2 linked regions of the Oryctolagus cuniculus genome follow. The protein of the gene in region 2 interacts with the protein of the main gene of each other region in a pairwise test. Links are inferred from orthologs where the notes say so. Each region holds a gene or a part of one and is shown on either strand. Other genes may lie near its edges.

The links.
Region 1: the proteins of STX11 (region 2) and EIF1AD interact in binary tests that used the Homo sapiens proteins (3 or more experiments, as listed by UniProt). The two-hybrid records come from large-scale screens. The link is inferred for Oryctolagus cuniculus from reciprocal best matches to the Homo sapiens genes STX11 and EIF1AD.

Annotation. Positions count from the first base shown.
Region 1 is NC_091432.1:5,799,824-5,805,243, forward strand, and holds EIF1AD (probable RNA-binding protein EIF1AD), read left to right. Parts: upstream 1-2,221; 5' UTR 2,222-2,263; coding exon of another isoform or gene 2,264-2,268; 5' UTR 2,269-2,704; intron 2,705-3,158; 5' UTR 3,159-3,245; coding exon 3,246-3,332; intron 3,333-3,647; coding exon 3,648-3,756; intron 3,757-3,838; coding exon 3,839-3,947; intron 3,948-4,030; coding exon 4,031-4,081; intron 4,082-4,436; coding exon of another isoform or gene 4,437-4,571; exon of another isoform or gene 4,572-4,581; intron 4,582-4,897; coding exon 4,898-5,036; 3' UTR 5,037-5,186; downstream 5,187-5,420. Other genes in the region: BANF1 (barrier-to-autointegration factor), read right to left, coding at 1,107-1,253, 1,348-1,486, 2,264-2,268.
Region 2 is NC_091436.1:24,387,393-24,392,608, reverse strand, and holds the start of STX11 (syntaxin-11), read left to right. Parts: upstream 1-1,780; 5' UTR 1,781-1,920; exon of another isoform or gene 1,921-1,964; intron 1,965-5,216. UniProt on the Homo sapiens protein: SNARE that acts to regulate protein transport between late endosomes and the trans-Golgi network.

The DNA.
Region 1 (5,420 bases), on a different chromosome or scaffold from region 2:
AGGTGGCCCAGGTCCTCGGGCCCCTGCACCCATGTGGGAGGCGCAGAAGAAGCTCCTGGCTCCTGATCAGCACAGCTCCGGCCATTGCAGCCATCTGGGGAGTGAACCATCAGATGGAAGACCTCTCTCTCTGCCTCTCCTCTCTGTTTAACTGGCTTTGACGCCAACTGGGATGCCAGCACCGAATCACAGGGCCAGCGCTCCAGCCCCAGCTCCGCTGACTCTGGTCCCCCGCTGGTCTGTACAGATGCACCAGGTGACAATGCAGGTACTTGGTTCCCTGCCCCAGGTTGAGTTCCAGGCTCCTGGCTTCAGCCTAGCGCAAGCCTGGGTGCTGGGGGCATTCAGGGAGTGGCCATTCGATGGGAGATCTCTGTACCTTCCCCCTACCCCACAAAAATAATCAGGGCTGAAACACAGTCCAAGTATAACTCGGCTGTGACGCCCACACTCGCTCCCCTCCTAAAGGTGACAGGGCACACAGAGGCTGGGGCGGGTGCCGTGATGACTGGCAGGTGCTCTCCCACACCCGGTCCACCCTCTCCCTGGCACCCGACTCCCACTGCTTTTTCCACCAGGTGCTGCCGAGCCTGGCTGTTGACAGACAGCTGCTCCGACACAACCTGTCTGACTCCCAGGCAGAGGTCAGCCCACGCTCTCCCACGTCACCCAGGGATTGGGACACTCGGCGGCACCTGCCCGAGGCCCACGTGGCCGGGGCGGCTGCCAGTTTCGGTGTTCGCCGATAAGGAGTGCGAGACCCAGCGAACCCCCGGGGGGCCGCGGCTCCCGGCCCACTCGCTGCGCGACACACGGAGCACGGTGAAGGCCACTGACTTTATTGATTTAAAAACAGGACAGTGACGGTTCTGCCACACAGGGAGCCAAACGGCAAACAGACCGGAGGTGCGGGAGGGGCGGGAAGCCGCGGTCGCGGTGGGACCGGCAGGGGACTGCGGGGAGCGGCATGCAGGAGTGAGCTCCGGAGCCGTGGCAACGGTGAGGGCGGGCGGCGGGCGTCGCAGGTGAACAACCTTTTCCCATGAGGCGCACAGGGCCGAGCCCCCTCCGCTGCAGACTCCGGGCCGGGGGGCTCCCCGGGCGGCTCACAAGAAGGCGTCACACCACTCCCGGAGGCACCCGAAGCAGTCCCGGGACTGCTTGGCGTTGGCGCCACAAGTGTCCTTCAGCCACTCCCGGAACAGGTCCTCGTCTTTCTTTAGCACCAGAAACTGGCCAAGGACCACGTAGGCCTGCAAAACACAGGGAGAGACGGCCAGTGCCCCCGGGCCGCTCCTCCGGCTTCAGGGTCACAGGCCCCGCCCCGGCCCGGCGGCCACCCCGCACCTTGTCGAACCCCCTTTCCTCCAGCTTCTTCCCCAGGACCTCGCCGATGCCGGCCAGGCTGCCCACCGGCTTCTCCCCCATGGGCTCCGCCACGAAGTCCCGGTGCTTTTGCGACGTCGTCATCTTGCTCGGGCTTAATCTGGGAATCCCAAGAGAAGCCGGGTTAGGGCCTGCGGGCAGCTCACGCGGAGGGGCAGCCAGGCCAGCCGCGGGGCGAGTCCCCCCGGCTCATCTCCCCGATGAGAGAACGGGGGTCCGGGGGGGGTCTTTCTGCCACTACTCCAGAGGACCCCGCCCACTTCCCGCGGGAGCGGGGTTTGCCGACATCCCAGAAGGAAACACTCTCGCGGCCGAACAGGTGGCGCGCGCGGGTTCCCGGGCCCGGGAGCTGCCACTCCTCCTGTGACCTTGGCTGGGCAAAGCCGCTGACCCCGCCTGGGACCGGACAGTCACGTGGCACGCCGCGCCCTGACCCACCCGGCCGCCGCAGCCCCCTCGCCGCGCGAACGCGCAGCCCCGCAGCGTCCACGCCGCGCGCGCCGCCGCGCCGGCCCCGCCCCCCGGCGCGCGCCGCCCCGCCCCCGCCGCGCTCCACGGCTCCCACGCGCCGCCGCCCGCCCGCTGCGCGGCCCGGCCGGCCCGGGGCCGCGTCCTCCGGCCCGCCGCGGCGCCTGGGCCCGCCCGCCTCCCCGCGCCTCCTCCGGCCCCCAGCCGCGGCCCTGCTCCGCGGCCCGCGCGCACCGGCAGCTCCGGCTCCCGCAACGGCTCCTCCCGCCACCCGGCCGCTCCCGCCGCTCAAGCCACTAGAACTTTCTTCGACTTCCGCTTCCGGGTCGCCTCGGGGGCCGCCTTAAAAAATAGCCAAATTGGGCGCGTCTATCCCCTCCGAGCCACAGAGTGGAGACGCGCCCCCCACCCCATGTCCCGAGCCTGCAGGGCGTCCTTAACGCCCCCTCGCGGGAAGCCGGCTCGTCCCCGCCGCCTCACTTCTCGGGCCTCTCCTTGGCGTGCGGGAGAGGACTGTCGGGGGAAGACTTTCTCTCTGCTGCCCGACACGCGGAACGCAAGGGCTTGGGCTTGACTGACCTGGCGAGGGGAAGAGTTAGAGGGACGGACGAGGGAGGGGACGGGTGAGCGGACGGCTTCCGGGGGAACGGCGGAAGTTCAGTTCCTGGAAGGGACTGAGTTGGACTGCGGGGACCGGGGACGCCGGGGGCCGGAGCACAAGCGGACGGCGCTGTCTGACGGCCGGCAGCTGCTGCTTGTGTGCTTTCGTCGGCTCAGCGTTGAAGTGTGGGCGTCCAGCCTGGCGACGTGGGGGTTTCTCGGACAGCACCCGGAAAGCGAGGGCCGGAAAGTAAGCTTGGTCTATCCGAGGGTCTGTCCTCCGAGCTGGAGGGGCAGGAAGACGGGGTGGGGGGAGGGCGGCAGCTGCAGGCGGCACGTCGGAGGTCGGAGTGCCCCCAGCCTCGTGGTACCCGGACCCGCCCCCTGGCCAGCTCCCAGGTGCGGCAGGTGCGGCTGGCCAGGGCCGCGGCCCCCTCGTCCGTGCCCAGCGGCGCTGGACCGGGGCGTGCCTGCGTGCTGAGGACGGCACCGCCCGGAGAGGGCGCGGAATGGCTTTTCTGGACCCCGCGCGCAGCTGTGTGGTCATCCCGGCGTCGAAGGGAACAGGAGTCCACCTTCCGCGGCTGCTCCGGGCCGTTTTCGTTATCTCGCCCTCTGACGATCTGAGCCAACTCTTGGGGCCCAGGGAAGCGAAGGCAGCCAGGTAGGCGTCAGGGCCCCTCACCACGGCGCTCTCCCCTCAGTAACACGTCGCGTCCTGGCTCCGGAGCCTGCCAGTCCGGGGGATCTGGCGCTGTCTGCGGCCCTGCCCGCCCTGGCCAGGACCCAGCATGTCTCAGGCCACCAAGAGGAAGCACGTGGTGAAGGAGTTGCTGGGGGAGCCCGTGGTGCCCTCGGAGCAGCAGCAGATCGTGAGGGTGAGCGGCGGGCCCCCGCCCCGCCCTGGGCCCCGTCCCGCCCTGCCCCCCGCCCCGCCCTGGGCCCCGCCCCGCCCTGCCCTGCCCTGGGCCCCCGTCCCGCCCTGCCCTGGGCCCCTGCCCCGGCCTGCCCCCCGTCCCGCCCTGCCCCCCGCCCCGCCCTGGGCCCCCCGTCCCACCCTGCCCTGGGCCCCCGTCCCGCCCTGCCCTGGGCCCCCGCCCCGCCCTGGGCCCGTGGGTGCAGGAGGGCGCCGTGCGGCTCGCGGGCTGTGAGCTCTGGTGAGGCAGACTGGTGCCTGCTCTTTCCCGGACCAGGTCCTCCGGACCCCCGGGAACAACCTGCACGAAGTGGAGACGGCCCAGGGGCAGCGCTTCCTGGTCAGCATGCCCTCCAAGTACCGGAAGAACATCTGGATCAAGAGAGGTGAGGGGCGGCCCCGCGGCGGCCGAGCCGGCCGAGGCTTTCCCGGAGGGGCAGGACTGACGGCTCTCCTGCTCCGCCCCAGGAGACTTTCTCATCGTCGACCCCATCGAGGAGGGCGAGAAAGTGAAGGCTGAGATCTGCTTCGTGCTCTGCAAGGACCACGTGCGCTCCCTGCAGAGGGAGGGGCGATGGTAGGCGGGGCCACCGCGCTAGGGAACGGGCCCGGCGAGACGTTGCCTCGTCCGCTCTGACCCTGGTCCTTCCCTTGGCACAGGCCGGAGGCCTTCTCTGCAGTGGCGGAGGACCACAGCAACAGCAGGAGCAGGTGAGAAACAAGCGACCCCTCCCGTGTGAGCTGGCGGGCAGACCCCTCCCGTGTGGGCGGGGGCGAGGCCTGGCGGGCAGACCCCTCCCGTGTGGGCGGGGGGTGGGTGAGGCCTGGCGGGCAGCCCCCTCCCGTGTGAGCTGGCGGGCAGACCTCTCCCGTGTGGGCGGGGGGTGAGGCCTGGCGGGCAGACCCCTCCCCTGTGGGCGGGGGCGAGGCCTGGCGGGCAGACCCCTCCCGTGTGGGCGGGGGGGGGGGGGGGGGGGTGAGGCCTGGTGGGCAGCCCCCTCCCGTGTGGCCTGGCGGGCAGCCCCCCTCATGGATGTCAGCTTGTGTCCCGGCTGCTCCCCTTCAGTGCAGCTCCTCTAGGGGTTTGGGAAGAGCAGTGGAAGGTGGCCCACGTGGGAGTCCGGATGACGCCCAGCCCGGCCGCGGCAGCCATCTGGGGAGTGACCAGATGTCTGTCTCTGTGGCTCTGACTTTCAGATAAATCTCGGGGGGTAAGAAGACAAGCCTTAGGGTGGGGGAAACAAACAGGGTTCACGCTGGTGCTGTTGAGGGAAAGTACAGCTTCTTTCCCCCGTGACGGGGTGCTGGGGGAGAGCCCCACATGCGTGGAGTGATAGGTGGGTGTGTCGCTGTTGGGAAGCCAGGTGCCCTGGGTTTTCCCACTGCTGCTGTGACCCCGTCTTTCCCCTTGGTCTTCAAGGCAGCACTGTGCTTTGGTGGGCCGGTGGTCTTCCTTTTGTGGGACTTCTTGGCTGCAGAATGGTTTTCCCCGAAGATGTTGGGCTGAGTGTCCTCTTCCGCCCACAGACAGACTCAGCCCGAACTCCCAGCCGAGCCGCACTCGCAGGAGTCCAGCTCTGAAGACGACTCTGACCTCTTCGTCAACACCAACCGCAGGCAGTACCACGAGAGCGAGGAAGAGAGTGAAGACGAGGAGACGGCCTGAGGCCAGGGACCGCCCTCCGCTGCTCAGGGACGAGGCCCTGGCTCCCCTGGGCTTGGACATTCCAGGTGCCCTGGATGGGAGAGAGGCAGGCGCCCTCTCTCACCGATTCTCTCGCAGGCGAATTAAACCCCCGGTGGGCGGTGACCTGCACTGGTGTCTGAGTGGCTCTCTGCCGGGGGGGACTGGATGCAGTCTCGGGGGAGACCCTCTGGCCGCTGGGTGGGAAAGAAATGGCAAATGGCCGAAGTCTCCTGAGGGCTTTATTTGCTCTGTTCTCTCTCCTGGGACGCTGAGAAAGCGCCAGGCCCTGGGCGCTGCCTCCTCGCGCCGTGTAACCACGGGGACCGGCTGCACTGGATGCGCTGTTTGCCGCCGGTACTGATG
Region 2 (5,216 bases):
GATGGGTTTTGGGGAGGAAGGCCCCAGAGGGAAGGTGCCATTTTCATACCATCATATCAAGGGTACATAACACTAGTATGATTTAAGCTGGCTGATGTCGACCTTGAGCACCACTGTGAAGCTATGCTCTTCTCCCCTGTCCTGGCTATACTTTTTTTTTTTTTTTAAGAGGAACATCACTAAGCACAGCTTACACTAACAGAGTGGAGAGTCGTGGAGAGTTGGTGCTTCTCTTCTGTGACTACGGACCACCTACATAAACTGTTTGCAGTTTTATTTGGGGGGTTTGTCTCTTCTCTTGCACTTACTTGTGGGATCATTCATGTATACTAATGTGGACTCATAGATATATATTTATCTTGGGCTTTACTCCAATACTACCGTCACACCTATGTAAGGACCATTGGGCTAAGGACAGACCCCATATACCACAGTCGCTGTACAACAGACCGGCTGAATAGGAGACTGCTTCATGGGTTTGTGTAAGTATCCTTTGATTTTTGCACAAACAGCACATCAACTATTAAGGCAATTCTCAGAAATGTGCCATCTTTAAATGATGTTTGTTAATTTCTTGCTCAAACCATTCAAGCTTTGGCCTTTGGTTGCTTCTCTTTTTTTTTTTACATTCTCCCATCTTTGTGGGAGTTTGGTTTGTTTGTGTCTCTCTTTCTTTCCCTCCCTTCCTCCGTCCCTCCCTTCCTTCCTTTCTTCCTTTCCCCTCCCTCCCTCCCTCCCTTCCTTTCTTCCTTCCTTCCTTCCATTTATTTGAGAGGGGGAGGAAGAGAGAGAGAGAGAGAGCACGCGAGCGAGCGCACTAGCTTCCATCTGCTGGTTCACTCTCCAAATGGCTGCACTGGCCAGAGCTGGGCCGGTCTGAAGTCAGGAGCCCAGAGCTTCACCTGGGTCTCCCACGTAGGTGCAGGAACTCAAGGACTTGTGCCATCTTCAGCTGCTTTCCCAGGTGCCTTAGCAGGGAGCTGGATAGGAAGTGGAGCAGCTGGAGCACCAACCAGTATCCATATGGGATGCCGGTGCTGCAGGCAGCTAACCCGCTGTGCCACAGCGCTGGCCCTTATTTATTGTGTGTGTGTGTGTGTGTGTTTAATGAACACTATTCTTACCTTTAAGTCTCAGCCTCGGTCTTCAAGGCTCTTCCCACCGCCTTCCACAATACATACGCACTGTATCTGCTTCCCTATTCCCACAAAGACGTCAGAGGCTTGGCAATATTTTGGCCATGGTCGTGTCTCTGGCTCCTCAGTGAATGAATGAACTCAAACTGGCGTTGGCAAAGGTTTGAAGGGTGCCGGTCGGCGTGGGTTCTGGAAAGCCAGTGCCCAGCCATCGTGTGACCTGCAGCCTCGTCTCAGCCGTCCTCTGGCGGCCACACCCACGCTCAGAATTCGCTTCAAGCGTCCTCGCCACGGAAACGCACCCTGCTGCAAATGTCACCAGAGCCGCGGGGTTTCCCCGGGAAAGTCCGGCGCTTCCCGCAGGGGCCCAGAGGAAGGCGGGGGACAGATGATGGCTTCGGGTGGCCAATTACCCCGACCTCACGGGAGCGCCCGGCGGCGCACCGCAGGCGCGCGCGAGCCCCAGGTTCCGGGCAGCCCGGAGCGCACCGGCAGCGGGCGGGGCGGGAACCTGCGCGCGGGCAGCTGGTGGACGCGGCGCCTCCGCGCTGTCGTCCCGGGGCGGGGCCTCGATCCCAGCCGTGGGCTCTTGCGAAGTGTCGGGGGCCGAGCCGGCGGCGCCCAGATGCGGCCTCGGCGGCTCGGAGTTCGGGAGGCGGCGGCTGAGCCCAGCCTCTGGCGCGGGAGGAGCGGAGGCTGTGGGAGGCGGCGAGAGCTGAGCCGCGGAGAGGCGCGCAACAGGTTTTCTCTGCGTCCTGGCGCCCAGCGCGAAGCCGGCGCTCGGGTAAGAGAGCGGCTTCTCAGCTCGCACGGTCGCCCCGGGTCCAGGTTCGTTCCTTCCTGCCTGGGTCTCCTTTTCTGTCCCGAACGCGGGGAGCTGGGAGTGTGGGCCCAAGGAGGGCGGGAGGGGACGCTCACTTGCCCGGCGACAGGATGCTGGGCCCAGGTTTTCGGGTTTGGCCCTGGTCCACCCCTCGCTTCCTGGCCCTTAGGGACGCCACACTGGGTTTCTCGTACGGAGCGCAATGGCTTGTTGTTGGTTCTTATTTATTTCGTTTTTCCAAGGCGAGGGACTGAGGATTTAGTGGGCATTGTTCTCAGAGACACCTGTTGTCTGCCTTCTGCAAGGATCCACCCACCCCACTTTTGTGAAAGTGGGGGCATTACTTCGGCCTGATAAAACGGCTCACTTCCTAGTGGGGTGCACTTTCTCAAAAACAGAATGAGGACCTCTTGACTTGAACTTGACAGCGTGACTCAGGAGCCAGGAAATGCGGACCAAATGATAGCGCTGAGGCGGTTCCTGGCAAGCGCTCGCGACTTTCTCAGAGCACGCAGGCAGAGGCTGCCCCGGAGTGAATTCGCTGGCTGGCGGCGCCCAGAGGACCCTCACCAGGAGCCGCGCTTCTCCCCGCGCTGCGCAGGCCGGCCCGTGCAGAAGCCGTTTCTCAGCAAAGGGAGGAGTTGTTATTTCTACACGGGTCTCCAAAAATGAGTCACAGGGCTGCTCTGTTAATTGTGAGACTTCCTTAAGTAACTTTTGAAACGTGAGGTTTGCTCCGTCTGTCTTTAAAATAACAATACAGATGTGAAATGTATGCACAGCCAAACTGGGGCAGGCGGTTGTCCCAAGTGACAATTCCAGTTTTCAGTTTCCTAGAGCTCCCGTCTGGGCCACACATCAGCCAGGGTCATTTGGGCTGCTCTAAGATAGCCATGGAGATCGCGTGCTTTACCGTAGACGCCCAAGAAAAGGATTTTTTATTTTTTAATTTCAGAGGAAGAGGAAGGGAGTGGGGAGAAAGAGAGGGAGAGAGGGGAGAGAGAGAGGGAAGGGGGGGGGAGAGAGAGAGAGAGCGTGAGAGTGAGAGAGCGCACTTCCATCTGCTGGTTCACTCCCCAGACACCCACAATGGTTTGGGCTGGGTCAAAGCCAGAGGAACTCAATCCAGGACTCCCACGGTGGTGGCAGGAACACAATTACTTTAATCTGCCAGCTGCTTTGGCAGAAACGCAGGAGTCAGGAGCAGGAGCTGGGAATCGAACCCAGGCACTGGAATGTGGTACACAGGTGTCTTAATCTTCTAGGCTAAATGCCCACTGCCACAAGAAAGTGAATTTCATTATTCAATAACTGTCTTTCTACTTTCACTTTATGGCACAAATGCTCGTTTAACAAAATATCATTTAACAAAATGATTATAAATCCCTCTCTGAGATGAAAGTATTTCAGACAGTTAGTTTGCCTTTCCTGAAGCAGTGCTAAAACCACACACAAAATGCCATGCCAGTTGGAGGTGAGAAATTAGAAAGGTTAAGCTGACAGGTCCCACTGCAACTGAGCAGCAGATGTAGGAAGTGGCTGTGCACTAATCCAGCACACAGGAGAGAAGAGAAACAGCTAGCCCCAACCAGAGAGTTACCAAGCACCTTCTCTGTGCTAGCTCCTCCCTGAGCTCTGGTTATACAGCCGTGGAAGGACAGGATCCTTAGAGATGCATGGAAGGCCAACAAATACAGTGGAAAATCCAATATAATGAGGTGAGCGCCATGATCTATCTATGCCCAGCACAGTCTCTGTCCCAACCTGAGTGTTATTTCCTCAGATCTGTGATTTGGAATAGACTGGGTCATTGCTGGGGGAACAAAGAGGGTTTTAAGTTTAGCCATCTAATTGTAGAGAGCTTATTCTTCATTTCATAACAGATTTAATATATATTAATTAGAGAGGCATGATTTCAAGTTGTTTGAATTAACCATATTTCCTATTACTATTATTAAGATTATTTATTTGAGAGACAGAGTTACAGACAGAGAGAGACAGAGAGAAAGGTCTTCCACCTGCTGGTTCACTTCACAAATGGCCGCAACAGCTGCAGCTGGGCCGATCCAAAGCCAAGAGCCAGGAGCTTCCTCCAGATCTGCCATATGGGCGTGGGGGCCCAAGCACTTGGGCCATCTTCCACTGCTTTCCCAGGCCTTTTTTTTTTTTTTTTTTTTGACAGGCAGAGTGGACAGTGAGAGAGAGAGACAGAGAGAAAGGTCTTCCTTTTGCCGTCGGTTCGCCCTCCAATCGCCGCCGCGGCCGGCGCACCGCGCTGATCCAAAGGCAGGAGCCAGGTGCTTATCCTGGTCTCCCATGTGGGTGCAGGGCCCAAGCACTTGGGCCATCCTCCACTGCACTCCTGGGCCACAGCAGAGAGCTGGCCTTCCAGGCCATAATCATAGAACTGGATCAGAAGAGGAGCAGCCAGAATGTGAACCGGCACCCACAAGGGATGCCAGTGCTGCAGGTGAAGGCTTAGCCCACTATGTCACAGAACTGGCCTCCGTATTTCCTGTTATTTAATAACCAGGTAAAAATAAGCCCAGATTATTATCACCACTGGATGATCACAGACACTTTTAGTTATATATCTTTTGAAAACAGAGTGAATAATTAATGAACTATAACTGCTTTTTTTTTTTTTTTTTTTTTTTTTTTTTTTTTTTTTGACAGGCAGAGTGGACAGTGAGAGAGAGAGACAGAGAGAAAGGTCTTCCTTTGCTGTTGGTTCACCCTTCAGTGGCCGCCGCAGCCGGCGCGCTGCGGCCGGCGCACCGCGCTGATCCGATGGCAGGAGCCAGGAGCCAGGTGCTTTTCCTGGTCTCCCATGGGGTGCAGGGCCCAAGCACCTGGGCCATCCTCCACTGCACTCCCGGGCCACAGCAGAGAGCTGGCCTGGAAGAGGGGCAACTGGGACAGAATCCGGCGCCCCAACCGGGACTAGAACCCGGTGTGCCGGCGCCGCTAGGCAGAGGATTAGCCTAGTGAGCCGCGGCGCCGGCCGAACTATAACTTCTTAACACTACGTTGAAGCAAATTTCTGAGTAGTGGTTTTTTTTAGATTTATTCGATTATTTATTTGAAAGAGTTGAGGGGAGGGGAATCCACATACACAAAGAGAGAGAGAGATCCTTCCTCTTGTTCACTCACCAAATGGCTGCAATGGCTGTGGCTGGATAGGACCAAAGCCAGAAGCCTGGAGCATCATCCAGGTCTCCCACATGAGTGCAAGGGCCCAAGTACTTGGGCCATCT